4 linked regions of the Arabidopsis thaliana genome follow. The protein of the gene in region 2 interacts with the protein of the main gene of each other region in a biochemical or structural test. Each region holds a gene or a part of one and is shown on either strand. Other genes may lie near its edges. The genes, in order: MSL9, OST1, AREB3 and RAV1.

Evidence for each region.
Region 1: of the proteins of OST1 (region 2) and MSL9, one has a biochemical effect on the other in vitro, tested with the Arabidopsis thaliana proteins (one study listed by BioGRID).
Region 3: of the proteins of OST1 (region 2) and AREB3, one has a biochemical effect on the other in vitro, tested with the Arabidopsis thaliana proteins (one study listed by BioGRID).
Region 4: of the proteins of OST1 (region 2) and RAV1, one has a biochemical effect on the other in vitro, tested with the Arabidopsis thaliana proteins (one study listed by BioGRID).

What each region holds. Positions count from the first base shown.
Region 1 is NC_003076.8:6,582,110-6,590,223, reverse strand, and holds MSL9 (mechanosensitive channel of small conductance-like 9), read right to left. Parts: upstream 4,870-8,114; 5' UTR 4,751-4,869; intron 4,734-4,750; exon of another isoform or gene 4,482-4,733; intron 4,229-4,481; 5' UTR 4,146-4,228; coding exon 2,776-4,145; intron 2,692-2,775; coding exon 2,571-2,691; intron 2,417-2,570; coding exon 2,123-2,416; intron 2,024-2,122; coding exon 1,821-2,023; intron 1,694-1,820; coding exon 1,453-1,693; 3' UTR 1,258-1,452; downstream 1-1,257. Other genes in the region: ACL5 (S-adenosyl-L-methionine-dependent methyltransferases superfamily protein), read left to right, coding at 77-165, 253-409, 516-591, 674-869, 967-1,048; AT5G19510 (Translation elongation factor EF1B/ribosomal protein S6 family protein), read left to right, coding at 7,087-7,172, 7,263-7,379, 7,473-7,542, 7,759-7,882, 7,996-8,109. UniProt on the Arabidopsis thaliana protein: Mechanosensitive channel that opens in response to stretch forces in the membrane lipid bilayer.
Region 2 is NC_003075.7:16,268,506-16,276,512, reverse strand, and holds OST1 (Protein kinase superfamily protein), read right to left. Parts: upstream 4,769-8,007; 5' UTR 4,150-4,768; coding exon 3,979-4,149; intron 3,668-3,978; coding exon 3,593-3,667; intron 3,498-3,592; coding exon 3,396-3,497; intron 3,312-3,395; coding exon 3,258-3,311; intron 3,174-3,257; coding exon 3,081-3,173; intron 3,012-3,080; coding exon 2,919-3,011; intron 2,664-2,918; coding exon 2,559-2,663; intron 2,454-2,558; coding exon 2,355-2,453; intron 2,243-2,354; coding exon 2,044-2,242; coding exon of another isoform or gene 1,997-2,043; exon of another isoform or gene 1,954-1,996; coding exon 1,856-1,953; 3' UTR 1,688-1,855; downstream 1-1,687. Other genes in the region: AT4G33945 (ARM repeat superfamily protein), read right to left, coding at 5,999-6,122, 6,217-6,395, 6,614-6,721, 6,974-7,096, 7,183-7,311, 7,485-7,768, 7,849-8,007.
Region 3 is NC_003074.8:21,044,350-21,051,674, forward strand, and holds AREB3 (ABA-responsive element binding protein 3), read right to left. Parts: upstream 4,266-7,325; 5' UTR 3,546-4,265; coding exon 2,805-3,545; intron 2,722-2,804; coding exon 2,650-2,721; intron 2,286-2,649; coding exon 2,205-2,285; 3' UTR 1,885-2,204; downstream 1-1,884. Other genes in the region: AT3G56840 (FAD-dependent oxidoreductase family protein), read left to right, coding at 1-51, 116-445, 526-807, 922-1,349, 1,435-1,594, 1,715-1,828; UBA2A (UBP1-associated protein 2A), read right to left, coding at 6,359-7,325. UniProt on the Arabidopsis thaliana protein: Binds to the embryo specification element and the ABA-responsive element (ABRE) of the Dc3 gene promoter. Could participate in abscisic acid-regulated gene expression during seed development.
Region 4 is NC_003070.9:4,539,581-4,546,116, reverse strand, and holds RAV1 (uncharacterized protein), read right to left. Parts: upstream 3,950-6,536; 5' UTR 3,732-3,949; coding exon 2,697-3,731; 3' UTR 2,147-2,696; downstream 1-2,146. Other genes in the region: MAP1C (methionine aminopeptidase 1B), read right to left, coding at 1-15, 103-264, 349-586, 697-781, 980-1,118. UniProt on the Arabidopsis thaliana protein: Binds specifically to bipartite recognition sequences composed of two unrelated motifs, 5'-CAACA-3' and 5'-CACCTG-3'. May function as negative regulator of plant growth and development.

The sequences.
Region 1 (8,114 bases), on a different chromosome or scaffold from region 2:
ACCTCCAATTGTATTAACAAAAATATACGTTCATGCATGATCTTAACAAATACATGTTTTTTCTTTCTTCTTCTAGGAAGTTGTTGATTTTTGCAGAAGATTTCTGACCGTTAACAGCGATGCTTTCTGTAACAAAAAGCTTGAACTTGTGATCAAAGATGCAAAGTAAGGAACCTAAAACAAAACAAAACAAAAAAAGTTTTTATCTGACGTTTAAAATCTCTAAAAAATATAATTTGAAATGTGAAAAAGGGCTGAATTAGAGAAAAGGGAAGAGAAGTTTGATATCATAGTGGGAGATTTAGCTGATCCAGTGGAAGGTGGACCTTGTTATCAGCTCTACACCAAATCCTTCTACCAAAACATTCTCAAACCCAAGCTTAGCCCTAATGGCATTTTTGTCACCCAGGTCTATACATCTTTTATTTTTTCTTCTAATTATTCTTTGATAAATATTAATAATTTTAGAAGAATGATAACAAAAGACTAAATTTACTTACTTAAATCATTCATAGGCTGGACCAGCAGGAATATTCACTCATAAGGAAGTCTTCACATCAATCTACAACACCATGAAGCAAGTCTTCAAGTGTAAGCAAATTAAAGCCTGTTTCGTGTGTGTTCTTGTAATGACATTATTGGATCCATTTTTTGATGATTGATATAAAAACAGACGTGAAGGCTTACACAGCACATGTGCCATCATTTGCGGACACATGGGGATGGGTGATGGCATCGGACCACGAGTTTGACGTTGAAGTTGATGAAATGGATCGAAGAATCGAAGAGAGAGTTAACGGAGAATTGATGTATCTAAACGCTCCTTCTTTCGTCTCTGCTGCTACTCTCAACAAAACCATCTCTCTCGCGTAATTTCCATTTTTCTCTCTTTTATTTTCTTTTCTTAACACAATAAATAATTATTCGATTTATTTACAAAATTTTTGAAATTAAAAAATTGAGCAGGCTAGAGAAGGAGACTGAAGTTTATAGTGAAGAGAATGCGAGATTCATTCATGGTCATGGTGTGGCGTACCGGCATATTTAAAGACGAACCGGTTTCAGTTTCAGTGTTATTACCAAACCCATGTCACAAAAACAAAAGGCCGGTTTCTTTTCTCCGCACAGAACCGGGTGTTGTCTTGAATCTTGATTACTTTGGTTCGGTTTTATTTTCTACATTGCTTTTTGTTTTCTTGTTCTTCCCTCAAGTTATTCCGGTTTAACAAGACTATATTGCTTACTAAGAAAGACCGATCTTCAATTACTTATTTCTCCACACCAAATCTAGAAATCGAATAGGCCAATTATGGTTCGATTAAACCGAAGCAATTAAAGTAAACCCGAGTTTCTGAGTGCAATTAAACCGAAACAAATCAAATTTAAACCGAAGCAAATGAAGGAAACTAGTACTAGTGGAATAAAATGCAAAAGAAGAGAAGGAAAACACGATCATTTGTGACCAGTGAGATTGACATCTTGAGGAAGGAGAGTGTAATCGATCTCAAGATCCTCGAGAATTCGCTTGATTGCGATGATCAGCGCGGTTCTTCTTAAACTCTTCTCTACATATACTTGGAAATTTATCGTGTGTTGGACCAGTATATTCAATACCAGCTTGTTCATATTCTCAATTGCCCTCACCATCACCTGTGCTTCTGGATACCAATGTTGTGAGTTTGCCACCAAGTATCTGACCAATTACAACACCAAATTTAGAGTCAATGAAAAGTCAGTGATTTAATGTGGTCAAGGTCATGTTATATGGTAGTTAGGGGACTAAAATATATATGTGAAGAACCAAGATGCCTAATACTTACTCTCCGATTTTTCCCTTGAGACAGCCGATTTTCTCGGCCGGTGTTGAGAATGCGATGCCGAAGTCGACATAATCTCCCATATCTGGACTTCTGTAGAAGTTGCTTATCGGTTTCGATATTAAAACCGAATTTGGGTAGAACACTTTCTCGTTGTCAATCTTGAGGAACACGGTTGTTAAAAGATCTATTTCTTCAACCAACAACTTCAAGCAATAATATAAAAAAAAAATACCTCAATGATTTAGATGTTTTAACTGAGTAGTAATAGTGAGCAAATTAAACAAACTTGCAAAGTAAGTTACCATAACACCGTCGACAACGCAACGATCTCCGACGTCATAAGGATGCATCACAAAGACGAACATAAAGGATTCGAAGATATTCTTACAAGTACTTCCGATCATGAAAGCAAGACCCAAAAATTGTGAGGAGAAGACCAATAAAAGCTTGGTCGATGCTATATCCAGAAGTACCATCCAAACAATGAATGTGATAACGGTCAAGATTCCAGTTATAAGTTTGTCCAACTGCTTAACCGCTGTTTTTGTGTCGTTCAGTGAATGCCCTATAGTTTTCCGACTTGTGTATACATTAACCTGTCAAAAAATGGCACAACACACCTACTTTAACTTAACAACTTCTCTAAATAGACATGTGTTATGTTTTTATCTAGGGTTTCCTTTATTGGTAACCATTAGTCATCTAAAACAACTTTGAACACAAAAATTAAGGGTGTTTGAAGAATGTTACCACCCATTCTGTAAAAGTCTTGCGTGTGATTTTTCCGGTGTCGGCATCTTCTATTAATGGGAGTACAAGGTCTACTTCTTCCTTTATCATGAACCTCAATAAGTCATCTTCTTCTATGTAACTGAGAAATTAAAAAGCAATTCAAGTTGTGAGATTAACATGAAAACAGAGTAGAAGAAAACAGAGTATTTGTGTGATGACTCACTTGTGGTTTGGCTTAGCGACATTGTTGAAGACGTCATAAGCAGCAGCAACAGCCTCCATCTCATTTGTTATCTCTTTATCTGTTCTCTCTTTCTTATTGTTGACCTCGTCTAGAGTGCTGGATATGGTTGATATACCTGAAGTTCCCACGGCTTCGATCAAAACACGCATTGTCCAAGCAGAGACCTTCTCTTGTTTCATCCTGTGAACCTTTCCCATATCGATCACTTTCTTGTCTTTCACCTTTCCATCTTTGGTTCTTGTGAAACTTAGGTGACCTGTGCTTGGCACGCGCCCAACGTTCTCTGCCTCTTCGATAAGCGGAGGTCCCGAGAGAGTCTGAAGAACGTATTGGTGGAAAACAGACTCTTGAATCCTCTCAAAGAAGTTTCTGACGTTGAACTTTGAAGCAAGAACTTTCAAGGCAAACGTCTTCACCAAGAAAAGGATTGACCCTACGAGAAGAGAGACAATAGTCCAAGTGATGAAGTCTAGAAATCTCTTGGTCTTACGAGTACGTTTAACATCACCATCGAACAGACATATCCAAGCAATCAGAACCAGACTAAACCAAATGAAGACTTGAACATTCTTCTTCAACCCATGCACAAAGTACAAAACTTTTTTCCGAAGAAGATAGTTCTTTTCTATGATGAACACCACAAAATGCATGAACCAATTTGTCACCAACATGCCGCTGAGTGTAACCATCACAAGCACACACCATTTCCAAAATTCCAACCCCCAAATGGTATGCTTGTTCACCACATCAATGGTTAAACTCACAATTAAAGCCCCCAAAATGGCCATAAACACTACCAACTCAAGAAAGGCCAGAGGTTTCATTCCGCTACGCTTCACTCGGTGTAGCTTAACCTTTTTGTAGATTTCTTCATTTTCATCCGGTTCCTCCTCAGCAACTTTACTCAGTGCTGCTGACGCAACGCTCCTATTGGATTTGTTATTAGGAGAAGCCCTGTCAAAAGAACCCCTTGCAAATGAACCAGCACCAAACTGTTCCCTAAGGGACCTTCCACCATTTTCCTCTCTAGTGCTATCGTATCGAAAAGACTGTTGCTCCCCAAACCTTGACTTAGGCTTGGAGTAAATTGACCTCGAAAGAGACTTCCTCCGAACTAGACCTTCAGGACTTGGAATTTTAGGTGGCTTATGAACGCTACCAGAGAACTTATAGATTTCAGGAGTAGGAATGCTTATGGGCGGCACTGGTTTCGATTTCTCAATCCCAGCATCGGAGTCTGGTGAAGCCAATGGATTGAAAGAAGGAGATGCTCTTGGATCTTTTGAATCTTCTTTATCTGAAACATTAATAACAACTTCTTCTCCGTTACTGACTCTCCTCTCAGCCATCCCTAAGTCACTTCCAACCAATAAGTTTGCGGTGCTGTTTGACTCCAATGGCTCCCAAAAGAGCCTAGAAGTTGGACCAAATCCTAAGAACACGAGAGTAGAAGTGCATCAGTGATTACATTAATCACAAACTCTTTACACAATTAGATACAACGAGATTTGACATAACACATGCTTGACACCGACTTTGGACTTAGTTGACTAATGACTATTGACAAAATTTTACACCAAATCTAAGCTAAACCTTAAAACCTAAACCAAATCCTACAAGGCTAGAAAAGAGATCTGCAAGAAAGAACATTTTTTCTAAGTAAATGAGTACTCTTTAAAACCAACCAATTTTCTGAAGAAAGCCGTAAGAAGGATCAACAGTTTCCCAAAACACATATGTATACTTCCAAAGAAAAAGTAAACCAACAGTGCCTCGTTGGAAAATATTCAAACGTATACTTAGGATATAAGCTTACTATAAAAGTTACAGAGACAAAACAGAGCAGGTATTGAACTCTCTTTATCTTTGGGTGGACAAAAAAAAGAAAACACTTTTAGAAACTTAAAGAAACAAATAAAGATAACAGAGAAAGGGAAAAGAGAGATAGTCGTACAAGGACACTGAAAGGCCAAGCAAGGATTGATCTTGAAACTTTAGTTCTGCTTTGCAAAGAGCGAAAACTCCAGCTTATAAGTGCATTTACCAAAACGAAGAAGTTGAACAAATTTATTTTTAAAATGAATTCCAGTAAATACAGACAAGAAACAAATAGGCATCAATTAAATAAAAAATAAAATCACGTGGATCTCAGAGGGGATTCCCAGAAAAATAAAGTTTTATACTTCCAATGTGAATTGATAACAAAAAGATATGAATACAGTCTTATTTATTTATCTTTGTTGTTGTCAACAGTCTTATTTTTAATTTATAGACATCTTTTTCTTATGTCTCGCGAATATGTTTATATTTTTTAGTTTAGTTTCTTTAATTAAGTAGTACTATATTAATAATGATTCTTCAAATAGAATATTGAAAATTCAGTGTCATTTAGTTAAAATGATGTGATCAATGCATGTGATCTACGTAAAAAACAACATGAAATGAGAAGTCGCATTAGCTTGGTTAACGAACAAATAGAGAAGGGTTAGTTAATGCAGAATTGCTACAGCTGCTTATGAATGGGTCTGGCTAATATCATAGATCTTAAATTGCACAAAAATCATATAGTAGTAATGTAGTTATAATTTTTAAAAACTGTAATATAATAGTACCACTTAATAAGAGTTGAAAAGAAAAGACAAAGGCGACAGCAAGAATATATACAGACACAGTCCTTGGTTTTACCGTTATTTTCACAAATGAAATATATTAAAATTTCGGTAAAGACTAAAGACGAATTTGGCATTTCGATGAAAAAATCAACTTTTATATTGTTTTGAGTGTAAACTACGTACCTATCTTCTTAGTTCTTCCCATGATTTTAATGTGCACGGTAGGATATTTAAAATAACTCGCATCGAACAAATCCGAATTCAATTATTCAAAATTGAACCTATCCTTTTATGAGTACTAAAGGACGACAACAAAAATAGTAGTAGATAATTTCAATGCGTGGATATTTGAATTTAACTACTTTAATGTTATCTTGTGTCTATGTCATTTAGCCGTTAAGCTTATTATTTAAAAATGTAAATTTGTAATTAATAGATTTTTCTTATAAAGATGCCAAATATTGAATACATCTTTTTCCCAAATGTTATGTACAATTTGTAGGTACGTAATGTGGTCATGTCATCAAGTGTTTAATCTCACAAGTCGAAAGTAAAGGTGATATATGGACCAAAACATAAAACTCAAACGATATATGGACCAAAACATAAAACTCAAACGTGACAGTGACCAGTAATATGTACACTTTGACATTTTTCTTTTATTGGCAAAGGATTTGTTTGCAATAACAAAATAAAGTTTATAAAAGAATTAAACATGAACCATATCAACCAAAAAATAGAAGAGAAAATAAACACCCTATAAATGTAGCATTCAAAGAAATATACAAATTCTCAACCATCGTTTCACCAAACTAATAAGTGGTAAGTTGATAACTACTGATCAAACCAACATCACTAAGTAAGTAAGGGACCCCAATCGAAGCAGAGCCTAAGCTTTGTTTAGAGAGATCTTCTTGGTCTTTTGGGACAACGGTAACATCAGGTTGTAGTGTATAATGTCAAGGTGATAATGGTGATTATGTTCCTTCCAAGTTTCATAAATCGCCATCCTTGGAGCAGACTCAAGCTTTATCTGTTGTATCATGCAGCAACCAAGAGAAGTTGATTCCAAGATGAAGGAGCCAACTATAAATATGCAGCATGGTAGTGACTCATTGCCATATCTGGGAAGAGAATTGACACTCAAATTCTGTTAAAATATACACATGACATTACATAATTGTCTAAGTTAGTTACTAAAATAACACAAACTAAGTCCAAAATGAGCTCTGGTTTAGTATGATCAATCGGAGTCAAGTAAATTTAAATTCATCAAAAATATTTTACTTTTCATTACAGATTTACATATATACAAAATAGTACAAATTACAATTCATTCATATCAAGGTTTCACTCTATACCCAAAACTGGGAAGAATAAATTTTATCATTAATTTGTTTATTTCCAATTTTGTAGATACCTTTACCTATTTGAGAGTTGAGACCTATGTTATTTTTTTCCAAATAAAGAACAACCTAAATGTTAATTTTACTTTTTCCGGACTCTCTTTGGGAACGAGCCACTTTGAAGGCCCATAAATAAGCCCAAATATTTGTCAGTTTATTTGGGTTTAGGGTTTCTCAGAGTCTCACAGCTCAGGATATACTCTTTTAGGTTTCAACAGCAGCTTAGTCTCTCTGATCTCTCTACCTCCCTCACACCCTAAAACTCAGCAACAATGGCCGTTACCTTTTCAGATCTACACACAGAGGAGGGTGTCAAATCCGTGGAGGAGCACCTCGCCGGAAAAACCTACATCTCCGGGTAAAGTTTCTCACTTTTCCTATTGTTTTTGCGACACGATTCGATTGTTTCTATTCCCGTTTTGACGTATAAGAGAGTTTGAATTTGCAGAGATCAATTGTCTGTGGATGATGTCAAGGTTTACGCTGCCGTTCCAGTGAAACCCAGCGATGCCTTCCCCAATGCTAGCAAGTGGTACGAGTCCGTGGCTTCCCAACTTGCTAAAAGGTTCGTCCTTTTTTCGGAATTTTGTAATAATCGATTCAGATTTGGATTTGTATATTGATCTTCCAGGAATTGACGAGTTTTGATTTGTTGCAGTTTCCCTGGAAAGGCCGTTGGAGTACAATTCGGTGGCTCTGCTGCTGCTGCTCCAGCTGTTGAAGCTGAGGTACCTTTACTTGAATGCTTTATTCTTTATTACCATAGTCGTAGACCTTAGAAAAAGGGTAATGAATGTAGTTTGGAACTATGATTTGAAAGGTGATATTTCCAATCTTGTATTAGGGATCACGAGCTATGTTTGGTAGGGGAATTGATTGGAGTTTGGTTTGGAATGTTGTGTGTGTGTGTGTGTGTTTACGCTATCTTGCATAATTGTCAACAGGCACCTGCAGCTGCAGCTGATGATGATGATGACATGGATCTCTTTGGTGACGAGACCGAAGAAGAAAAGAAAGCTGCAGAGGAGAGGGAGGCTGCTAAGAAGGACACCAAGAAGCCTAAAGAGAGTAAGCCTCTTAATTGAATTCGATAGTACATATACAAGCATGTGAATTAGTAACTGCATCTTAAATTTTAATAAGGGTTCTAACTCTCTTTTGAATTTTGAACTCTTTGTTAGGTGGAAAGTCTTCTGTGCTCATGGATGTTAAGCCATGGGATGATGAAACCGACATGAAGAAACTGGAAGAGGCTGTTCGTGGTGTTGAGATGCCTGGTCTTTTCTGGGGAGCCTGTACG
Region 2 (8,007 bases):
AAATATGATTACACTTGACTTAGCTTGAGTGAAATATACTTGTCAGACAAACTGGAAAGTTAAAGCCAAATTCAACTACTTTGAAAGGATATATTAGTTTAGGATTCGATTTAACATACCAAAATAAAAAGAATGTAACATGAACTGAATTAGGTCTACATTAGCTTGTCGAAAATCGTTTTCGTATGGAAACACTCACCAGCAAGACAAATGGTCGAATCCTCATAATAGAGATCCCTCCCCAGTCCCCACACTATGTCGAATAAGCCAATGTCACACCATAAATAATTAGTCATTTTCAAACTACTCTAGTCAATTATTTTTTTATCAAAAAAAACAAGTTAATAATGTACTTGATTGTTATGAATATCACCATCTGGATGCAGAAACTAACAAATAACAATCAGAATTTACTTGATTAAGTGTCGGAACGGAAATAATGAGCAACTCTGCAATGGCAAAAAAGGCTACCGTTGGACAAGTCTGACGGCAATGAGGAGATCATACTTGATGATTACTTTTATTTTAGTGACAAATCAATCTATCGGAAATTACAATGGATTTATATGATTATTTTGGTACAAGTTTTTATTTCAAATTTTTCTGTAAATCTTTTTCACATTGAGACAACAAAAATTATGCTTTCGCTAAATCCGACACATATTTGTCATAATTTTACCCAAAAAACTAAATTCCGTTGAAATTGTATAAAATTTCGTAGTGAAAGTATAAAAACATAAATAGAAACATAAACCACAACGGTCTTTGGAAATCTTGTCAAAATCGTTCATATCTCCTGTCTATCGGCCAAAGCCATATTGTGTCAGTAATATTTTTCCCAATCCAAAATAGAATTTATTTTAAAAAATACTAATAATGTTATTTATCCACTATGCCTATATCCAGAGTGAATAGGTAAAATAAATGGTACAAAATAGTTTGAAACTAAAAGAAAATAACGAAGATAAGAAGACAATAATGATATCAGTTGCTAAGGCAGACATATCTCATCTATAACTCAAAATCATTCACGTTGTGTTACAGTACAAGAGACACTGTCACATAGGTCGACCAACCATGCATGCTTCCATTTTCTTAATAAAAACGTTGCAAATTGTAACTGCTTGTTTTCTTCTTCCTTTTTTTAAAAAAATTAAAAACATTGAGTATTTTTTAAAGTAGGAATAATATTAATTTCAATGAACAAGAACAACTATCAAGTACTGGTTCATTATCAATTTATTATTCGAAAAATATTTAGAAAAGAAAAAAAACGAAGATGCGTGAATAAGCATCTTTTTTAATTTAAAGCGAATTACCGTACGTATGTCCTTCTGAACATATAACATGCATATTAAATTATTAATGAATGTGTTCCATCTACATTTATGCTGTTTTTGTATTTTTTGTGAAAATGGGAATATCATCTTATTTCCATATAGTTCAAGTCTTCAAGATATGCCCCATCTATTTACTTCAGTTTGATATTATCAAGTACCCACTTTAATCTGTATAGTACTACAGAATATCGATTTCTTTATCTTTTGCATAGCCTATATGTTGTTTAGTTGTCAACTTCTCCAAATTAGTTTAACAATTTTGTTTCTAGTATTATTAGAAAAACAAACAAAAAATACTAGAGAGAGTAGATAAAATACTGATTGATGAAAATGTTTTTTTTTTTTTTTTTCACTTTTGTTTAGAAATTTAGTCTTTTGCATATCAAAGATTCAAAGTGTACTCATTGAGACAAAGTTGGGCCAACTCAATAGCAAGCAAAACATCTTAATCTTATTCTTCAACATTTTTTGTTTGACATTTTTGTAGCAGAAACCATGCAAATAGATATATAGTATCACATTGCGTACACAATCTCTCCGCTACTGTCGATGTCAAGATCATCAAGGTCGCTCTCTAAGTCTTCCTCCATATCGTCATCTATGTCCAAGCTTCCTGTTTATCCATTAATGATAAGTTTTTCAAACATTGAGAAGCATTAAAAAAGACAAGAAATCGAAAAGTTTATGTTTTGTGTTGTCTCACCTGTGAGGTAATGGTTCAGATTCTGAGTGCCTGCAGGAGGAACAGTTGCTTCTGCAATGATCTGCATAATTTCTTCTATGCTTTGGCCCGGTTGATCCGATTCATCAAACTGAGTGGTCATCGTGTTATCGTTCATTAGATCTGCCGGTAGATTCTTTAGAAACCATTCATGGTTCCTTATTTCAGGAATTGATATCCTCTGCCAAGAAACCAACCAAGAGGGCCAAAATGCAAAGTTCTCTTTTCAGTCATACTATAAAGAAAATTCACAAATAAATCAACAAATGCAGCTTTCATGATCCTTCCTTTACCTTTGCAGGGTCAGCAACAAATATTCTGGAGATCAAATGGCGACATTCAGGAGATATGTGAACATAATCCGGAATAGCATACTGAACATTCAGGATTCTCTGAGCAAATATTTTCACAAGAGAACAGATAGTTTAGCTAGCAAGTAATAAAATCCATAATTACATTTTTCAACTATTGAAGCATGAAGAAAGTGAAAGGCTCACATGTATAGTTTTCCTGAAATTCTTTGGTTCCTCGGGATCTTCGAAAGGATATGCTCCAACCAGCATGACATACAGAGTAACCCCACAAGACCAAACATCTGCAACCTGAAAAAAAAGAAGAACATTAGGATGCATTTGACTAATTCAACCAAAACTCAAGAATTATCAGTTTACAAATCAGACTCTTAATAGCTTTCTTCACCAAAATTCTTGAAGAGCCAAGATTGTTTTATTTGTGTGAGCTTTCATCAAGAGAAAGCATGTTTCCCCTATCTATAATCAGAGGATAAAAATACAAAGATTGTTCTTTCTATAAGATATGGTTATCATACTAGTTTGGGAACTATGAAAATGGAGTACCTTTCCATCATATTCTTTCTTTAGTAAAACCTCAGGAGCGATGTAAGCAGGAGTTCCAACAGTTGATTTTGGTTGCGAATGTAACACTGATGACTGAAAAAGAAAACACAAAGCTTAGAGATACTAACTAACTCAGAGTTTCTGAAATGTTTTCAAAGATACCTTAGAATATCCGAAATCACATATCTTTAGACGAGGGGCCGGGCTACCATCTAATAACGTATTCTCGAGCTTTAAGTCTCGGTGACATACTTGCTACAACATAAAATTTAACTTCTTAAGTCAGCTGAATTTCACAGAGGATGAAGCATTGATTTGATAGAGAGCATTTTTCATTACCATAGCATGACAGTAACTAACTCCTGAAATGAGTTGCTGGAAGAAAAACCTCGCCTACATGATAGTAAACGATATATTAGCCTCAGCATTTTGAATCTTCGATTAATCATCAAAGCAAGAAAAAAAAGAGAGAACAACCTCGTCTTCGCTGAAGCGGCCTGCATTGCAGATTCGCTCGAAAAGTTCTCCTCCAGATGCATATTCCATAACAATGGCTAAATGGGTTGGTGTTAATATAACCTGAAGCAATCCTAAGGATTAAATTATAGAATTCCTTTTTTTTCCTGAAAATGTTAATAATAAGAAAACAGCTTAAAAGAGAGTTGAAAACAAACCTCTTTGAATCTAACGATATTGGGATGTCTTAAGGACCTGTGGTTGATTATCTCCCTTTTTACATTTTCATCTATCTGTACAAATACAAAAAGTCCCACCATTAATACCACGTTCCATAACAAAAGAAACACCTAGAGCCTTTAAAACAACACTATACAACATAAGTCATAAAGCAAAGCAGAGCAAATTTGGTCTTCCATAAAAATCAATCAATTTTGTAAATCTATAGGGTTAAACCATTCATAACCATAAAGTAACCAAACACACATCTCTCATTGGATGATGAACACACAAAAATGATTTCTTTTGAATTCAAGAACCTAGTGAATTGAAACATAAAATAAAATTGGACTAAGGAGAAAAAACAAGAAGAAAATAAACTGACCTTCTCACCTCTCTCGATATATTTAACAGCAACAAGCTCATTACTTTGCTTGTCTCTCATCAATCTCGCAACTCCAAAATTACCGGAGCCAATATCCTTGACGAGTTCATACCTATCACTATCGTGCATAATCGGCAAATCCATTGGACCACTCACTGCTGGTCGATCCATTTTCTCCCCCTCTTTCCTCTGTCTCTTTGCGACTTCAATCTCTGTGTCAAGAAGATTTCTTTTTTGGGAGACAATATCTAACGACACCAAGACATCAGAGGAAATGAACAACGGTGTGACGTGGATGAATTTGAGCCTTTAAGATGAGAAAAGGAGTATTGGGTGATCAAGTTATGGTTGTGAGAAAGAGACGTTTTCAGAGACCCGTGAAGTATCTAACCAACAACACAAGTGGGTTTCTTGAGATCCTTTTTGTTCCTTTGATCGCTCTCGATGAAGAAGAAGAAGAAGAAGGAAGGCTCGTGATCTTGAACTCTGTTTCTCTCTCTCTGTCTCTCTCTCTATCAGCTTTCCTTTTCTCTGTCAATATAAAAAGGAAACAGCTTTCTCTGTTCTGTTTAAACCACAGCTTGAAGTAAGCTATACAAAACAGAAAGATGAGAGAGATAGAAGAAGTTTTCGCTTTTTCTGTGAACTGTTGAATTGTGATTTGTCAAAGCATGGGAGATAGTTTGAAATGACGGATTTACCCTTTCTACTTACAACGTTCTGACAAACAATGGGGCCTGTAGTTTTTAGAAATGTTTTTTTTTACCGTGACTAGTATAGAAAATAATATTTTAATTAGTATAAACTTTCTTTTTATTGGCAAAGTATTAGTATAAACTATGTGATTTGTTACTCTTTATTTTTCAGTAAGTTTTATCTCTCCATAATATTATGCATTAATTTTTTCCGATTTATTATATGTCTTATTGTAAATAGTATAGCAAAAAATATGAAAATATTAATTGATTAAATTTATGCCTAGAACAGTTACTAAAAATATCTAAGTTTTCAAAAATATAGCACTAGAATGGTATGAGATTTAAAATAACAGATTTTGAATTGATTTTATATCCCAATTTAATTTAATCAAACACAGTGAAAAATGAAATAGAAATAATTTAAATTAACAATTAGTTTTTCTGTTAGTGGATCTATATATTAATATCGTAATATGTCCCTTACATATGTACATTTTTGGCTACTGGATTAATTTTGCCCCTTAAATATGTCCTGAAACGGAGCTGATGAAACATATACTCGCATTAAACAAGCTTATGGCTAATCATGGGAACCTCCATGTATTAATGACCACTAAAAAGATTTACTTTCTATTTCGGTATATAAAAAGGGTTTCCGCATTTAAAAACGGAAAATAAAAGAAAAACAAGTTACCACAAATGTCGAGATATTGTTGGCTAGCTTGTCAGATCTTCACCTAAAAGCTGAAACCGATAGAGTTGCACTCATCATCACTATAGCCCATCATTTTTACTATCTAAAGTTTTTGTTTATGCGCATCCACATGACGATTTTGCTGCAAACTTTTTTTTTAATCATCTTTTAAAAACATATATCCGTACTTAATATTCCCAATACACTCTTCTAGAGCTCGATCATTCCATGGACGTGAACATTTTGTCTTTGTTTCTCTTCCCTTTAGTCAAACAAACATTTTGTCCTTGTTTCAAACTAAAATCGATTTCTTCTAAATAAAGGAAATTCATTGACTAAACGAATGATTTTAGTGAATGAATGAAAATTTCTCATTGTGAAGCCTCTGTTTCTCTATTTACTTTTTTACTATTTAGAGTACCTTTCACCGAAATTTTCAATCAATTCCTTTCAATTTTACTACATGTTCAAGCATTCGAACAAAAGCAATCGTTGCAAAAAAGACTAGATCGGAATGCCTTCTACCCAAAAGAGAGAACTCAATGCAAACTGTTTATGAAATTTTTGAAAAAAAAAACTGGATTCATTCCGGTTGTTGCGAGTACCAACCAATGGAGAAAGATTGACCTTAGTTATTGTAGTTATCAAGGCCAAGGTCTCTCAGTGCATCAGTTGCAGCGGCTCTGCATGTCTCATTGTTGGCTTTAGCAGTTCTTATCAGCTTCTCGATTCCATTAGCAAGCAGAATAGTTCTGTAGTGTGCATGCAGACAGAACTTGATATTATAAAAGAGTTTGCGATATGTGCATATTGTTGGATGACAAGAATTGGAAACAGAGCAAAAACCTGTTCTCTGCACTTCTGACAGCAATGTTCCGTATCATGTTGCAAGCGTTTCTCTGCATTTGAGCAGCTACTGGGAACCTCTTCATTGCTTGGACCGCTAGATCACCAGCTCCAGCTTCTATAGCCTTGGCTGCGTGGTCTGGTGATCTCAGACAGATTATAGAGATTATCAACATCACCTGAACCAATCAAGTATATCTTGGATCAACCACAAGGATTATGCACTCAGACCCTAATGCTACAAGAAACATTCTTCACACGACATTACGTTCTATCTAGTGGAAAACTGCCAAAGACGTGACCTGTAGTCACAAGTATCTTCTCTAGACAGGAAGATTTAAAATTGCGCATGGGACATAGTGTCATAAGAGGGTTTTCGTTTGGTTTATATACTTACCTCTTGTATGACTAGAGGATCATCAGAGAATCGTAGTGCGAGTGTGATTAGCTTGTCCAGACCTTGCTTCTCAACTATGGTACTCTTGTTAGAGTCACTTCCTGCCAACTAGAGATCAAAATACAAATTTTAGATAAACATTTATCATGCGTGGTTACAATGCTAATCTAAATCAGTAATAGGCTTTGGAAAAGCTTAAAATTTGAGAACATGCATTTATTAGAAGCACATGAACATAAGCTACTCCTTAATATGGTGCGGAAAATACTTGAAAGCCTGAGTTTTAAAGAAGGATTTTGAATAACCAAAGGCAATGAAGACAACAGAGGCAGCCTGCAGGGCATATTAGAAGCTACTCACCTTAGACAACAGGGAACAACATGTCTTAGCAGCAGTTTTGTTGCCTTGCTCACCGCTATCATCAATACACCGAAGAAGTGTATCTATTCCACCGGATTCAGCAATAGATTTACATATTTCATCCTGTTTACAGCAAAACCAGATGAAGAACTTGCAAGAACCTAACCAGATAAATGTTATCACACAGAGATTTCAACTAGGAGACTTACATTGACAGCAATTGCTTTTAACGCAGTACTTGCTGACACCAAACTATCAGAGCCAATCCCTGCCTGTAATGCTTCAGTGAGGGCTGTCGCAATCCCTAATTTGGCAAAAGTTCGTGCATAACCATAAACCTGAAACACATGGAAGCAAAAGTCTAGTGGATTTGAATTCTCAAAGCATGTCCATGAATAAGCACAAAAAACAACGATTATAAATGTTTGCTAAGTGCTATATAGCTGTTTTCCCTTAATTTCATTCCCGCAGTCAAAAGTGGCATATACCAAACGAATGTAACCATACTTACTTGGGAAGCAACAACACGGAAGTCATCTGGAGTCAAAAGAGCACAAATAGCATCGTACAGAGCTCTAATGGTAGTTTTACTCTCTCTATTCAACACTTGCAGAATAAGTTCATCGATTTTCAGTTCCATGAATAACTGTTTCACAACTTCATTACCAGTTGCTGCAGCAGCAACAACCGCAAAACCAGCATCTAACAAATCAGAATCGGAGCTGGAATCATTTAAGAGATCAACAACGATATTTGGTCCAGTACAATTCCTGAATCTCTCTGTGCTCTGAATGTCTGCAATTGAATAACACATGATCAACACAAATCAAAGTTAAAACACACAAGAACGACTAATTCAAGAACAGAAGTCATACCACGGATCAACACAGCCAAAGCCTTAAAGCAAGGAACAAGAACACGATTACTTCTAGTAGATATCTTGATTTTGGAACAAATCGAGCAAGTTAAATCCACAGCACCATGTTTTGTCGCAATTGCAGCGTTCCCTGATTCTTGGCTGCTACAAAGCTCAT
Region 3 (7,325 bases), on a different chromosome or scaffold from region 2:
TTGATTCGGCCTCTCGAAGCTTGGGCTGCAAATGCAAACAAAGCCTGTAATGTAATAATGTTAGAGAGTTGAGAATAAAACCCATTTATGTGGTGCTGAAGGCATTTTGCTGCAGACTAAGAAGATGCTACCTTGTCTGGGTAGAAAATGGATGAGATTGTCAACGAGGAATCTAAAACCAACTTGGAACTTGATAAACGTCGTTGACGCAAGTAAAACAATTGTGAGAGGAATAAGCGGTGGAGCTGAAACGATAGCTAAAGAGAGAGTTGACACCGTAGTGATCGGTGCCGGAGTCGTAGGTTTAGCGGTGGCGCGTGAGCTCAGTCTCCGCGGCAGAGAAGTTCTGATCCTCGACGCCGCATCATCGTTCGGCACCGTGACGAGTTCCCGCAACAGTGAAGTCGTCCACGCCGGAATCTATTATCCACCAAACTCTCTAAAGGTACAATCTTTCTCTTGAGGATCGAATCAGATGTGTGTTTTGGTAAGTTCAATAGTGAGTTTTGTTTGGATTTTGAGCAGGCCAAGTTTTGTGTAAGAGGGAGGGAATTGCTGTATAAATACTGCTCTGAATATGAAATCCCTCATAAGAAGATTGGTAAGCTTATCGTTGCTACGGGATCCTCTGAGATACCGAAACTAGATCTATTGATGCATCTTGGAACTCAGAATAGAGTCTCGGGTCTAAGGATGTTGGAAGGTTTTGAAGCTATGAGAATGGAGCCACAGCTTCGTTGTGTTAAAGCTTTGCTATCTCCTGAATCTGGCATTCTTGATACACATTCCTTCATGCTATCTTTAGTGGTATATATAATAAACTTTTCCCCAGCTCTCTATATAGGGTCTTCATTGTTCTGTCTTTAGGAAAAGAGTTTTGATTTCATGGTTTACAGGGATAACAACAACTTGAGACTACAGGGAGAAGCACAGAACAACCACGCAACTTTCTCGTACAACACGGTGGTTTTAAACGGTCGTGTTGAAGAAAAGAAGATGCATTTGTATGTTGCTGATACCAGATTTTCTGAATCTCGGTGTGAGGCAGAAGCACAGCTTGAGCTTATCCCTAATCTTGTTGTTAACTCTGCGGGATTAGGTGCTCAAGCTCTAGCAAAGAGACTACATGGCTTAGATCATCGATTTGTTCCTTCGTCTCACTATGCTCGTGGATGCTACTTTACACTATCGGGCATAAAGGCTCCACCTTTTAATAAACTTGTGTATCCTATACCTGAGGAAGGAGGTCTCGGTGTCCATGTCACTGTAGATTTGAACGGACTTGTTAAGTTTGGACCTGATGTAGAATGGATTGAATGCACAGATGATACATCAAGCTTCCTCAACAAGTAAATACTGCATCTGTTCTTAAATTATCCTTTCTATTTAGTCCATTTTGAAGTTACTCAAGATCTTCATGCTGTTTGTATTCAGGTTTGATTATCGTGTAAACCCACAACGATCAGAGAAATTCTACCCAGAGATCAGAAAGTACTATCCGGATCTCAAAGATGGATCATTGGAACCGGGTTATTCAGGCATCCGTCCTAAGCTTTCCGGGCCAAAACAGTCTCCTGCAGATTTTGTCATACAGGTAAGCTTTTGTTTATCAAAATGCATCAGACTACACTCACAGCATTAGGTCCTGTGGAATCTTCGGTTTTGTTATGAAACCATTTGTTATCCTCAAGAGTCTTGTGTGTTCCTGATGCAGGGAGAGGAGACTCATGGAGTTCCTGGTCTTGTTAATCTCTTTGGCATCGAATCACCTGGTTTAACTTCAAGCTTGGCTATTGCAGAACATATAGCAAACAAATTCTTGAGATGAATTTGAGTTAAAAGTTTACATTTAAGAACAAAAGTGGCCTACAAGAAGAAGGCTTTGCAGAGTTAAACAATTTTCCTTTCAGTGTGATCCATTTAGACTTTGTCTATAACTCTTTACACTTTGCAATCAAATGCTATAAGAATAATAAACACAAGTTCCTTCTGTTCAATCTCTGAATTTCAATCGGACTCATGAAAACCATTACTGCTGCTAGTCTGCTACTACAATAACTCGAGAATATTTTAAAGTTAACAGAATTGCTCCAAGTCAAGAAAGTCTACGGAATGTACAAAGAAACAAAGCTGTTTTCCTCTCTTTTTTATAAGTGAACCGACACAGAAGAGAAAAAAAGAAAAAGACAAAAAGAGTTTAGAGATCAGAAAGGAGCCGAGCTTGTCCGTCGGAGCTGCCGCTTGGGATCAGGCGGTGGTACACTTGGGAGGATTTTTTCCACCTCCTGCAAAGTAATGTAAGGATTAGCTTTGGCCACACATAAACGCAGACAAAATTGAAGAACAGAAAGTCCATGAAGACTAGAAACCAGCAAGACCAACTTGTTCCGGGTAAAGGAAAACTATGTCTCCTAAGACGTTTGGTCTAAACCTATTCCTCCTGTCTCTTGTTCGTGGTTATATTTTCTATCATATATTGTCTACTATGCGTGTGCCCTATTCTATACTTCACTACATCTTCTATCATCTATCATTCCCTTTAATATGAATCCAGAACTAATCAACGATCAGCTCTTACAAGTTTCTAGTAATCACAAATTTAATCAATGCATGTGTTGTAAAAAGGGAGAAAAACCTACAATGCATTACCTTTTGCTTCCTGAGTCTTTCGTTTTCTTCTTCTAACCGTGAAACTTTGATCTCTAGCTCATGAGTGTAAGCCTGCTCATCAATATCCAATGTTAAAACAAAAACGAGCATGACTTGACAAGAAGAATAACAACAACAAATTAGTTGTTTCTCACCTGTTTCCTAGCTCGGGAACGAGCAGCAGACTCTCTGTTCTTTATCATTCTCTTCTGCCTCCTCTCTACAGTCTTCTCTACAACTTCTCCTGAAGCTACCCTCTTCCTTCCAGGAGTTTGTGTATCTGACAAACCACCCATCAAAGAAGACTGAGACACCATTGCTTGCATATCTGAAACCGGATAGGGCATAAATGCTTGAGGCTGTGGCATTGATGGGAGCTGATGATATTGAATCCATGGGCCAACTTGAGTAATGTTTTGCCCTAAACCAGCACCTGAACCAGCACTACCACCACCAACAGGACCATCATGGTTCGAACCAGGGATAGTCTCAGTGACCACTCCTGCTTTCAACAACAGGTCTTCAAGCGTCATTTCCCCAAGTGTAGGCTGCTTATCCCTCCTCTCATGAGCACTACCTCCATTCTTATTCTGCTGAATGTCTTTCCAAACCTCATCAACAGTCTTTTTGCTGAGATCCCGAGGCAAAGTCAAACTCCCCTGGCGAGAAAGACCCTCCTGAGCAGCTGCTCCACCATTGACAGCCATAGACGATGGCTGATTAGCTTCAACAGAACAGACACTCTTCAAAAGCTCATCAAGGTTCATGCTTCCCAGAGCTTTACCAGAACTCCCCAAGTGATTTTGAACCTCATCAAGTGTTAAGCTGTAAAGAGAGCTTTGCCTATTCAAGGACTGAGATTTAGCTTGTTCAACAATACCCCTCTGAGAATCCATAGGCTTTTGTAGCGGACAAAAAACAACAAGACAGATAGATAAAAACAATTCTGAACCCACAAATCAGAAACCCTAATGCTCAATTTGATAAATAGCCACACGACGACGAATTCATCAAATCGAGCCTAAATCGGAGGCGAAAGTAACCTTTTTTCTAAGGTAGAGTGGCGAAACATGCAGAAGAGAGACGAGAAGAAGAGAACCCAGAAATCAAATCGAAGGAAATGGCAGAGAGAAATCACGGCGTTGTAGCAATCAGAAAGAGTCTTGGGAATTGCATGCAGCATCGAAGGCTATCAAATGCAGATACTAAACATGGAAATCGCAACACAAGGACAATCAAACTCTTGCGAGGTACAGACTTTTCGAAGAAGAAGAATAAATCAAAAACTTAAGCAAGAGAAAAAGCAACAATCTTTTGGAGCTTAAAAAGGACCAGATCTAAAACATGGCAAGTTTGGGTTTTTCTTTCTCAAAAGAGAAACGAAACTATGATAAGTGCAGAGACAGATTTACAAAGCAAACCTAAACTCTGTGTCTGTGTGTGTCTGAGTCTCTCTCTCTCTCTTCGTTTTGTTTTCGCGCAGGAGAGGAAAAAAGAGAAGAGAGAGAAAACCTTTTGATTGAGAAAGTGACACTCGATACTGTGGCAATGCCCCCCTCTCAAGCCTCCTGTGGAATTTTCAATGCGTTTCTTCTTTTTTTAGTTGCCCAAAAATGGTTTCTCAAACTTTCGATCAAAATAAGAAACAGAGGTTTGTTTAAACACTTAATGATTAGTGATTAACTTAAATGAAGGTGGAATCAATAAACACTACATGTGCTCGGAGACCCTTCATTCATTTAGCTTCAATGGGAATTTAGGTAGATTGATTATCAAACTTTAATCAGAAAAGGTTATACATATACATGTTTATGTTCTTTGGCTCTCAACACTAATCCTCATGCCTATGAGTTTCTCTTTAAATGGTAAGTGATTACTATAAATTAATCTGCAATCATGTTAAACCATTTTTAGGCAATAATTTACATGTATTTTTTTGCAATATTGAAATCTCAAACCTTTAATTATACTTTCTATTATCCAATCTCAGATTGGGTTTTATGAACATTGAATGTGGCTTTGAAGAATATTGCATCTTGGATTCTCTTCATCAATGAAGGACCTTTTTCCCTTTTCGAAACTTGACATAACAATTGAGAGATTGTTGACTTGAGATCAAATACACAAAACTCTACTACTTACTTCCCCCAATTCCACTTCAGCTTCATATTCTGCTTCTCTTCTTCATCATCAATGAACCCTTCTACTATGTATCATCATCATAAATAATATTCAAAGCTGCACTTTTCCAAAAAGAGATTTCACCATCAAAGCAATCATCACCAAAAAAACTTTATGCATTCACGCCTTTATAAACTCCTCTGAAACATTAAGGGAAATAATATATCACCTCGTACTCTTGTGACTTTTCTAATAATCCCTGAACCTTGTGCACAAGGACCTGAAGGTACATGCTCTCTAGACCAAAACCAACTTTTATCACTTCAAAGAGGGACTAGGACCAATAAACAAGAACATATATAGGCAAGAGATTCGCACTGAGAGATATACTTTTAACACTTTTGATTACTTACCCTTCAATTGGAAGCACGTTGTATATAGCCAAAGAAGATACTCAACACTTTGAACTTACCTTTTAGTTGCAAGCATGTTGTGGAGATCCAAAGACTTAACTGCCTGTTGTCGAGAAACTCTATTCGATAGCTTCCACTTTTCAAATATTGAGAAATTGCCTCAGAAAGATCATTCTTCAGCTGTGTCGTTGAGAAGCTTGCACCACTTCCCACCAAGTTTGACTGTTCCAAGTTGGCTGCAACTTAGTAATTTTATGACAAATAAGTTTGGAAACAAAGTTCTAATTTGAAATAGTCATTGTAAAAACTTTTGAAACTTGTCATAGAAAATCCAAAAACACAAGTGAGAGAGCTCTGCTGCATTTTAAAATTCCAAGTTTTGATCATTTCAGAACCAATTGCATTCAGATTAGTATATGTGTGCTAAAGAAATTTCATTGACAGTTAGGGGTACATAATCTGGCTGTTCAACCGCAGTCAATTACCTGCAAGAGGAATAATTGAACAAACATAAAATCAGGATAGTACATAAAGCCAGGTTAATCAAGATAACTTGGTACAAAATACACTGCAGGCAGAAAAACACATGAAATCGTAAAACAGAGAAGTCAATAAAAACTATTTAGGAAAAACTAGAGTTCGATAAGCAAAGACCCACATGGAGCGTAGTTGCGCTTTTTTAGTTTTACAAATGAAAGTCTAAGGGGGATATTCAGAAAACTGAAAAAATAGAGACATAAACACTGAAAATAGTAGTACAAAGTTTTTTTTAGGAATTTCATAAAGAGAGTTTGGGAAAAACAAGTAGATGAAAACTAAAACTCCTTAAAAGGTTTTTTATGAGTTTGGCCTTAGGAGTGACCAAAGAGTAACATTTCATAAAGACTTCATTTAGCATCAGCTCCTTATAAACTTGAGAAGAATCACCAGGCCAATATTAAAACACTGATTTCTGATATCTGCACAATGAATTTAAGAAAATAAGAGAAGTAACATGCTTTAACAACCGTTGCAAAATCCCCCAAAACTCCAATGCAAACAAAAACCATGTGGATATACACAGAAACTTCTTGTCTTCAGACATCAGTAAGTTAATATATACTGAGGAAAGACATTTCAACAATTAAACAAGGGAAATTCATTGCTCTACCTGAGTGGATGGATACATGATACATTTAGTGACCCATGTAAGGAGTACCGTATGGCCCGACACCATGTTGCCCTCTACTTGTACCGCCTTGACCAGGTTGCGGAGTCTGATAACCGCCTTGCAACCCAGGTTGTGTACCGTACCCAGGCATTGTCCCCGGTGCCATAGCTTGAGTACCGTAACCAGTTGGCATTCCAACTCCATTCCCTGGGTTTACACCAGCAGCTGTCCCCAAGGAACCCAACAAAGCCTGTCCAATTGCCGGATTAAAAGCCAAACCAGCTCCCTGAGATGCCAATAAAGCTGTCAAGGCCTGTCCAATGGCCGGGTTTATCACCTGTGCCGTTGGACCACCCATCCCAGCTGGGTTACCAGCCATGAGATGTCCATGACCTCCAGGCGGACCATAACCATTGTTATCATTCCTTTGGTAACGAGGATTGTTATAGGCGTGTGGGTTATGGTGATGCTGCTGCTGCTTGCCCGGTTTGGGACCATCGATAGCTTTCTGGCAATGCAAGATATGGCCTTCAAAAGTCTTGTGTGGCTCCTCCAAAGCCCTCTTGGCGCTTTCAGACGACTTATAAACAAAGAGACAGAAACCTTTAGGTCTCCCAGTATACTTATCAAGACCCAAAGGACCTTCTTCAATTTCTCCAAACTTTGAGAAAAACATCAGCAACTTCTGTGGATCAAGCTCTGCTCCGACATTACTAACATAAATCTTTTTCTGAGTATGCTCCGAGTTCGAATGCTGAGCAGGCGCTGAAACAGCTGCAGCAGCGATAGGAGCTCCACCAAAGACAGGTCCTTTAGAAGCCAATTGGCATGCCGTCATACGACTACCAATCTTCTTCTGAGGCTGCTTGAGTGCGTTGCGAGCACCTGAACGAGACTTGTACAGAATAAAGCCATAACCTTTAGATTTCCCTGAGATCTTATCAAACACAGCCTTGCAATCTTCGATCTCTCCGTACTGCTTAAAAGCTTCA
Region 4 (6,536 bases), on a different chromosome or scaffold from region 2:
GATTATATCCCCGCTCTGCATTAAGACTTAATAGTTAGTGATAAACAAATGAACTCCTTCAAAGCTATTCAGCTTAAAGCAGTAAAAAGCACACATGAGGACCTGTAGCTGGCGAGAATCTGGTATTCCGTGACACATACACTCATTAACTGAAGTACACACACTTTTAGGAAATCCACCATATCCAAGAGGTGAAGGATAAGCACCAGCTTCAATAATCATATCATGCACAGCTTTATCGATTTCATTAGTCGTAACAGATGGCTGCAGAACCATATAAACAACAACTCAGACCACATATCCATAACATAGGAAAACAAAAGATCCACAAGGAAACTAAAATCTTACCTTAACCAAAGTTCCAGCATAGTTTAAAACCCGAGCAGCAAGCTCGCAAGCAGCTCTCATTTTCGCAATGCCTTCAGGACCAGGAATCTGGAACTCACTTGATATATCCGGTAATACACCAGACTCAACATAAGGAGGCCTTGGAATGTGATCAGGTACAAGAAGACGAGGCGATACTCTTCCACGTCTTAATGGTGGATTTCTCCTAACTTTTGATTTAGTTTCAAGCTCTCTCATTCTATAAAATGTAAACCAAATTAATGTACTATTAGCTCTATGACCAAAAGATGAATTCTTTTTTCAAGATTGCATTTTTATGATACAAGAGAGTTAAACAAAGTTAATTACTTTCTGATTCTAATGGCTTCCTCTAACCCAGAAACTTTCTTGGCAGAAACATGGAACTGTCTCGGAGAATATGAGTTCTTCTTACCTACAGATATGAGAGAAGATAAACTTCATACACCAAAGTTCTTCAATTATACAACATTCAAAATCGGAACAACGGAGAAAGTTTCAAAATTTCCAATCAGATGACCAATAATTTCGATATCTTCCAATGAAAAACGAAGCAATAATTGAATAACGAACAGAGCAAACGAAGAAACAGTGACAAGTAAAAATGACAAACCGGAGAGTGATAAAGAAGAGGAAGTGACCGGAGCTCCGAGAAAGCATCTCGACGGAGCTAAGTACTCGCCGTGAAAGGAAGAGCAGAGTTGCAAAGAAGACGATGACGAGAAACTGGATAGAAAAACCGAAGACGCCATTTTCGCAAACTTCACTGCTAAAACCCAAAATATCAAAATTTGCAGTGAAGAGAAAAAAAAAATGGTTCTTGATATTTTAATTAACAAACTAATGGACTTTAAAGCCCATTGGGCTTGTATATGATCGATCAAGTATAGGCTACTTTAGGCCATATGGGGTTTATGAAGATATGATTTGCTTGAAGTTTTGAATTATGACAAGATTATCTAAAAGATATTTGACGACATTTTTATGGTTCTTGTAACTAAAAGAAATTATAGCTATTAAATTAGTAACTTTATGATTAACTTGTGTTTTTCTAAATTATGATCGTGCTTTTTCAAAATTTTCCTATCTTATAGAATTTGTTAGATTGAGAATTAGTCGTTGATAAATGTATATCTAAATGGATCCACAAAAATCAAACAACAATAACGATTATGATGGTGGATTTTTTCTAGTACATTTATTTATTTTCTTTCTTTCTAGTCTTTGGTATCAACAAGTCTAATAATTTTCACTAAAGCTACTGCTGTGTTACTATTTGAACACAACTTGAATTATGTGTGGATGTGTGTTATAGACAAAAGTATACGTAAAATTGCGTGGGCATTTTTAATTGTATAATAGGATTTTATGCTATAATGGAATAATGTTATAGTCCACCGAATTGTATCGAAAGAAAGTGCATATGAACGGAACATTCATTAGATCAATGGTCAATATATTCCTTTATGTAGGTACATAGTAATGTATGCGGCAGGTGTACTATTATCATCATATGTTCAAACTCTAACGCATATACTATATACCATTTCGTAAGAGATTAACAGAGTTTTAATGTTATTCGTTTTAACCATCAAATTCCTTCGAAATAAATAGCTATATATACCTAAGTTTGTAGAGAATCTGAAGATACTCATAGTCGCAGCCAGCGAAAGAAAGAAAACTAAAACACTTTTAGAAACAAATATCTAGATTGAGTTAAGCCGAAAAAGTAGTAGATAGAATTATAAATACATATATATTATTTAACAGCAACATGAATCTCTCTACCAACACAATAATTTCTGAAGCTTAAAATAATATCTTGCAAAAGCTTAAATAGCATTCATTTTAAAATATCTTTCTCTTTGGTTATTTGTATCGGAGTATGGTCTATCATATCATCATACGATTATATACGTTTACAGACCCTGCAAACTTTTTCTCTTTTGGTTGGAGTTATTTTATAAAATTACGTACGCATAAGTCATAACTCCTCAAATCTATATACAAAAAGCAGCAAATACCATAAGCAGTAGCTAATGCATACATATAAATACGAGTTCCCATACACATAAAATGAAAAGAAACCAAGGTAAGATTTGGTAACAACATTTTCATCATCTCATGCTAATAAAACTCTTGAGACATATCTAAGTAACCCTTTTTAAAATTTATCCTATAAATAAAATTTACAGTTCATCAATACAACAAAAACAACTCATGAACCTTTGGTAAACAAGAAGAAAGAAACCGATGCAAATAAAGAAAACGAAAATGGAGTTTTTAAAAATTATTAAAACAACAAAAGAAAAAAAAAAGAAGAAGAGTTGTTACGAGGCGTGAAAGATGCGTTGCTTCTTGCTACACACCAACGATAACATCTCAGTATCGTTCACTCTTTTGTTTCCTACGACGTCGTTTCTTGAACTCTCCGGTGAAATGTTAACTCCGAACAATCTCAAAACCCGACCCGCATCTAAATCTGACCCGGATCTCGACTTCCACCCAATGTACAACTGTTGATCCTGACCGTTAGATCTACTGAAACTAACCACGTCACCAGCACGTAGATTCTTCTCCTTAACGAACCTGCTCCAACCTTTAGTCAAAACATAACTCTGACTACTGTTCCAATACGAGTAACGGAACCTCCACACTTTCCCGTTAACGTCCTCAAAGTTCAACAACACTCCTTTCACGGAAACGTTACTTGACGGTAACGGAAAATGTTTCTCTGCGTGATGTTTCGGTATAACCAAACGGTTTAGCTTCCCAACGTCGCTTGGCGTTACCGCTTTCTCAAACAGTGCCTCCGCCGATCTAAACCCCGTCGTAGAAACACCATCATTACTCAACCCCGACGTTAACAACGTCCTAGTCATGTTTCCGTTACCATTACGACGCCGTTTACTCTGCTCTAACTCTTCGTTATAAGTATGTTTCCTCAACATATCAACGATCTCAGATTTCGAATGAGAATTCAAGAAATCGACCTCGTCTTCGTCCATCTTCACGTCTTTGAAATTTGTGACGGCGTCACGGCGACGGAACCTGTGAACCGCGACGTCGTAGGCACGAGCGGCTTCGTCTTCTTCGTTGAATGTCCCGAGCCACACGCGCTGGTGTTTCTCGTAAATCTGAGCTCCCCATCTTCCGTTTGGTTGTGGCACCACACCTTTGTATTTTGACGACGGAAGCTTCCTAGATTCAGCTTCTACGCCGTTCTCTGAATCTAACACAACGCTTGATCCGCTTCCCATCCTGTATAAGTTACCTACCGACGACTTTTTCGCCGGAGTTATCGCCGGGGTTTCACAGATGGAACCTGTACTTGTAGTACTCTCATCAACGCTACTCGATTCCATTTAATCTGTGTTTTTTTTTATGGTTTGAAACAATGGAGAAAACAGAAATGTGTTTGTGTTGTGTTGTGAATTATGTTGTGTATATGTATACGTGTGTGTGTATAATATATATAGAAAGAAGGAGAAAGAGCTTGGGGGGAGGGAAATAAGAAACAGCAAGTGTCACTTCTGATATTATTATTTTATGTTTCACTTTTTATTTGGTAATAACAAAAAATATATTTGTAAGAATGCGTGTTTGAGGGGAGTAATTATAGTATATGTGCAGGTGCATGGGAAGTAAGATGGGTGTGTATGGGTCAACTCAAAGAACACAAAGGAAGCTTCGTGGAAACATAATGAAATATACGGCATTTAATTTAGGTTACTATATTAGGGTCTATTTCATGAACTGTTGATGTAACTTATAGAAGAAAACACACGAAGCAATAATAATCCTTATAATAAGTTAGTATTTTATTTATGTAAGAAAAAGAGAAAAGAGAGTATAGGAACAAATATAGAAATGAATATGTTGTGGGCTGTGTGCATGGGGAAGTGGGACCCATGTGTGGGCCATGGAATGGATAAAGGGTCCACGTGAGATATTGACATCATTTTAGTGAAGTTCATCCCCCCTGAGTTTTGATGCTTAAAATTTTAATTCACTATAATACTATAGTAACGATAATAACTATATGAAAAATAATAAAATAGAAAGTATTAGATTTGATAACCATGTTCAGATCCTACCGATGTTAAATGGTGTCTCTCTTTAAATTTTTTTCTCTTCCAAATCTGATTGTTATTCTTCACTCTTGAATGATATTATTATTGAAAAAGCTATAAATAGTTGTTTAGTCATGAACTCATGATATATATCTTCTTTATTTTCCATTTCCAGGTTTTTATTCTTCTTTCTATAATCTTATCCTACGTTTCTTTTTATAGAAAAAATGTGTATTGCTATGAGGATTATTGTCCGTATAATATATGCACTCGATAGATTCCAATTCCAAATTCATAAAAAATCTCTCTTTTGTTGTTCTTGTAATTATCCCATTTTATTATATATATATATATATATTTGGTATCAACATTTTATTATATTTGTTTCTCATAAGTGGGTGTATGTAATGTAAAAAGATTTTAAATATGTCTTATATATTTATAAGAAATACTTAGCCAACGAGCGACCGACATCATAACAAGTATTTCTACTGGTCAATAGAAATCCAATTAAATCAGTTGCCTTCAGTGTGTGTGTTTTACTCTTATAGAGAATAAATACGTAAGGATTTAACGCCATAAATTGTTTGCATTATATAATATGGTTTGAGGACAATTAACAAGTGATGTGGATAGCTTACGATCTTATCTGATATATTTGTTGCTTTGCAAAAGTATTCTTCTACCCATTAGTTAGGTTTCATTTTTTATGCAAAGAGCCAATTAGAGAACTGCGAAATATCGTGAGATTCGACTTTTATTGGCTCTCCCTGCTCCAATAGAAAATGTTAACGATTTATATCTCCTTTTTATATCTATTAATTGATTTGCCGGTTTCTATTTGAATTCTTGTAATTATTTATTATAGTATTTATTATCAATTTGATCCACTAGGATGGGAAGTGGGCCAATGACAAATCACTAAGAGGCATGGTCGTACGTGTCTTGTGTGGATGAATAATAATATGGGCATTTCTTGACAGCAGGACAATTACTTTTGTCTTTTTTCGTTTTTTTCTTTTTAAGTTAAAGAGGCATTGCTCAAAATACCTAGGCGCTAATTAGTGTTAGGATTTTTTTGTTTCTTAAGTTTTACCACACATTTTCATCAAAATATATATAAGTAAATTGGCATTTAAGCCCATATGAAAGAAATAAGTGCTGATCAACTTTAATTGATTTTGTTAAAATCAGTGTGGTAGAAAGTAGTGACTGTGTAGATTTATAGACAACACAATAATTAGATAATCACACTCTAATCAAATTTTCAAATTTAAAATCGTATTTTTATGTTTTAAAAAAACTTAAAATGGTTCTAAGTATATCATATATGGGTGGGTATGCGACAAAAAGAAATAGATGGTTGTATTTTCCTTAGAAGAAATTGAGTATGTTGTCACGTGGCACTTGTTGCTAACTCAGCTTTCTTTTCTCATGGAATTTGTCTCCGTAAGAGAGATTGGGCTCATCCATGTTTCTTTTATGATTCTAAGTATTTGAGCTCCAAATTGAAAAATTGGTTTTGTAAGTGATACATTATTGAAGTTGTGTAACCTCTGCTTACAAAAGAGAGACATTTTCACCAGTACACTTTCATTGTTTTATACTTTTGATTTGATCATATCAGAATTAGTTAGTTTCTTCTATACGTTTTGTAAATTTTGTTTGGAATTTATATCATTGCATATTTTTATAGATATTACAAAGATAGTGAAAGTTGTTTTGTTATATGATAAAAGAGTAACAGAACTTTTTATCATATTTTTACTCCTTTATAAGAAAACTACAATTATATACTGTATGTTTTTAGAAAAAAGAGGTAGAAGACCTTTTTTTTTTTTGAGCAAAGGAGGTAGAAGACCTTAGAATGTGATTTATAGAGAAACAAAATAGATAAGAGTGCTAAAGGAAAAAGTATCTGATTTATGATGCTAATTTTTTTTTTTTTGAAACATCCAACATAGGTATAAATAGATATTATTAGTACGGACGAGTTGTTATTGGTCCGCAGGTGGACCTCATTTTTCCTCAACTTGGTCCTTTAGCTTATTTAGCTTGTCAATTCGTTGATATATTTAATTATTTTCTTGTCGGTAA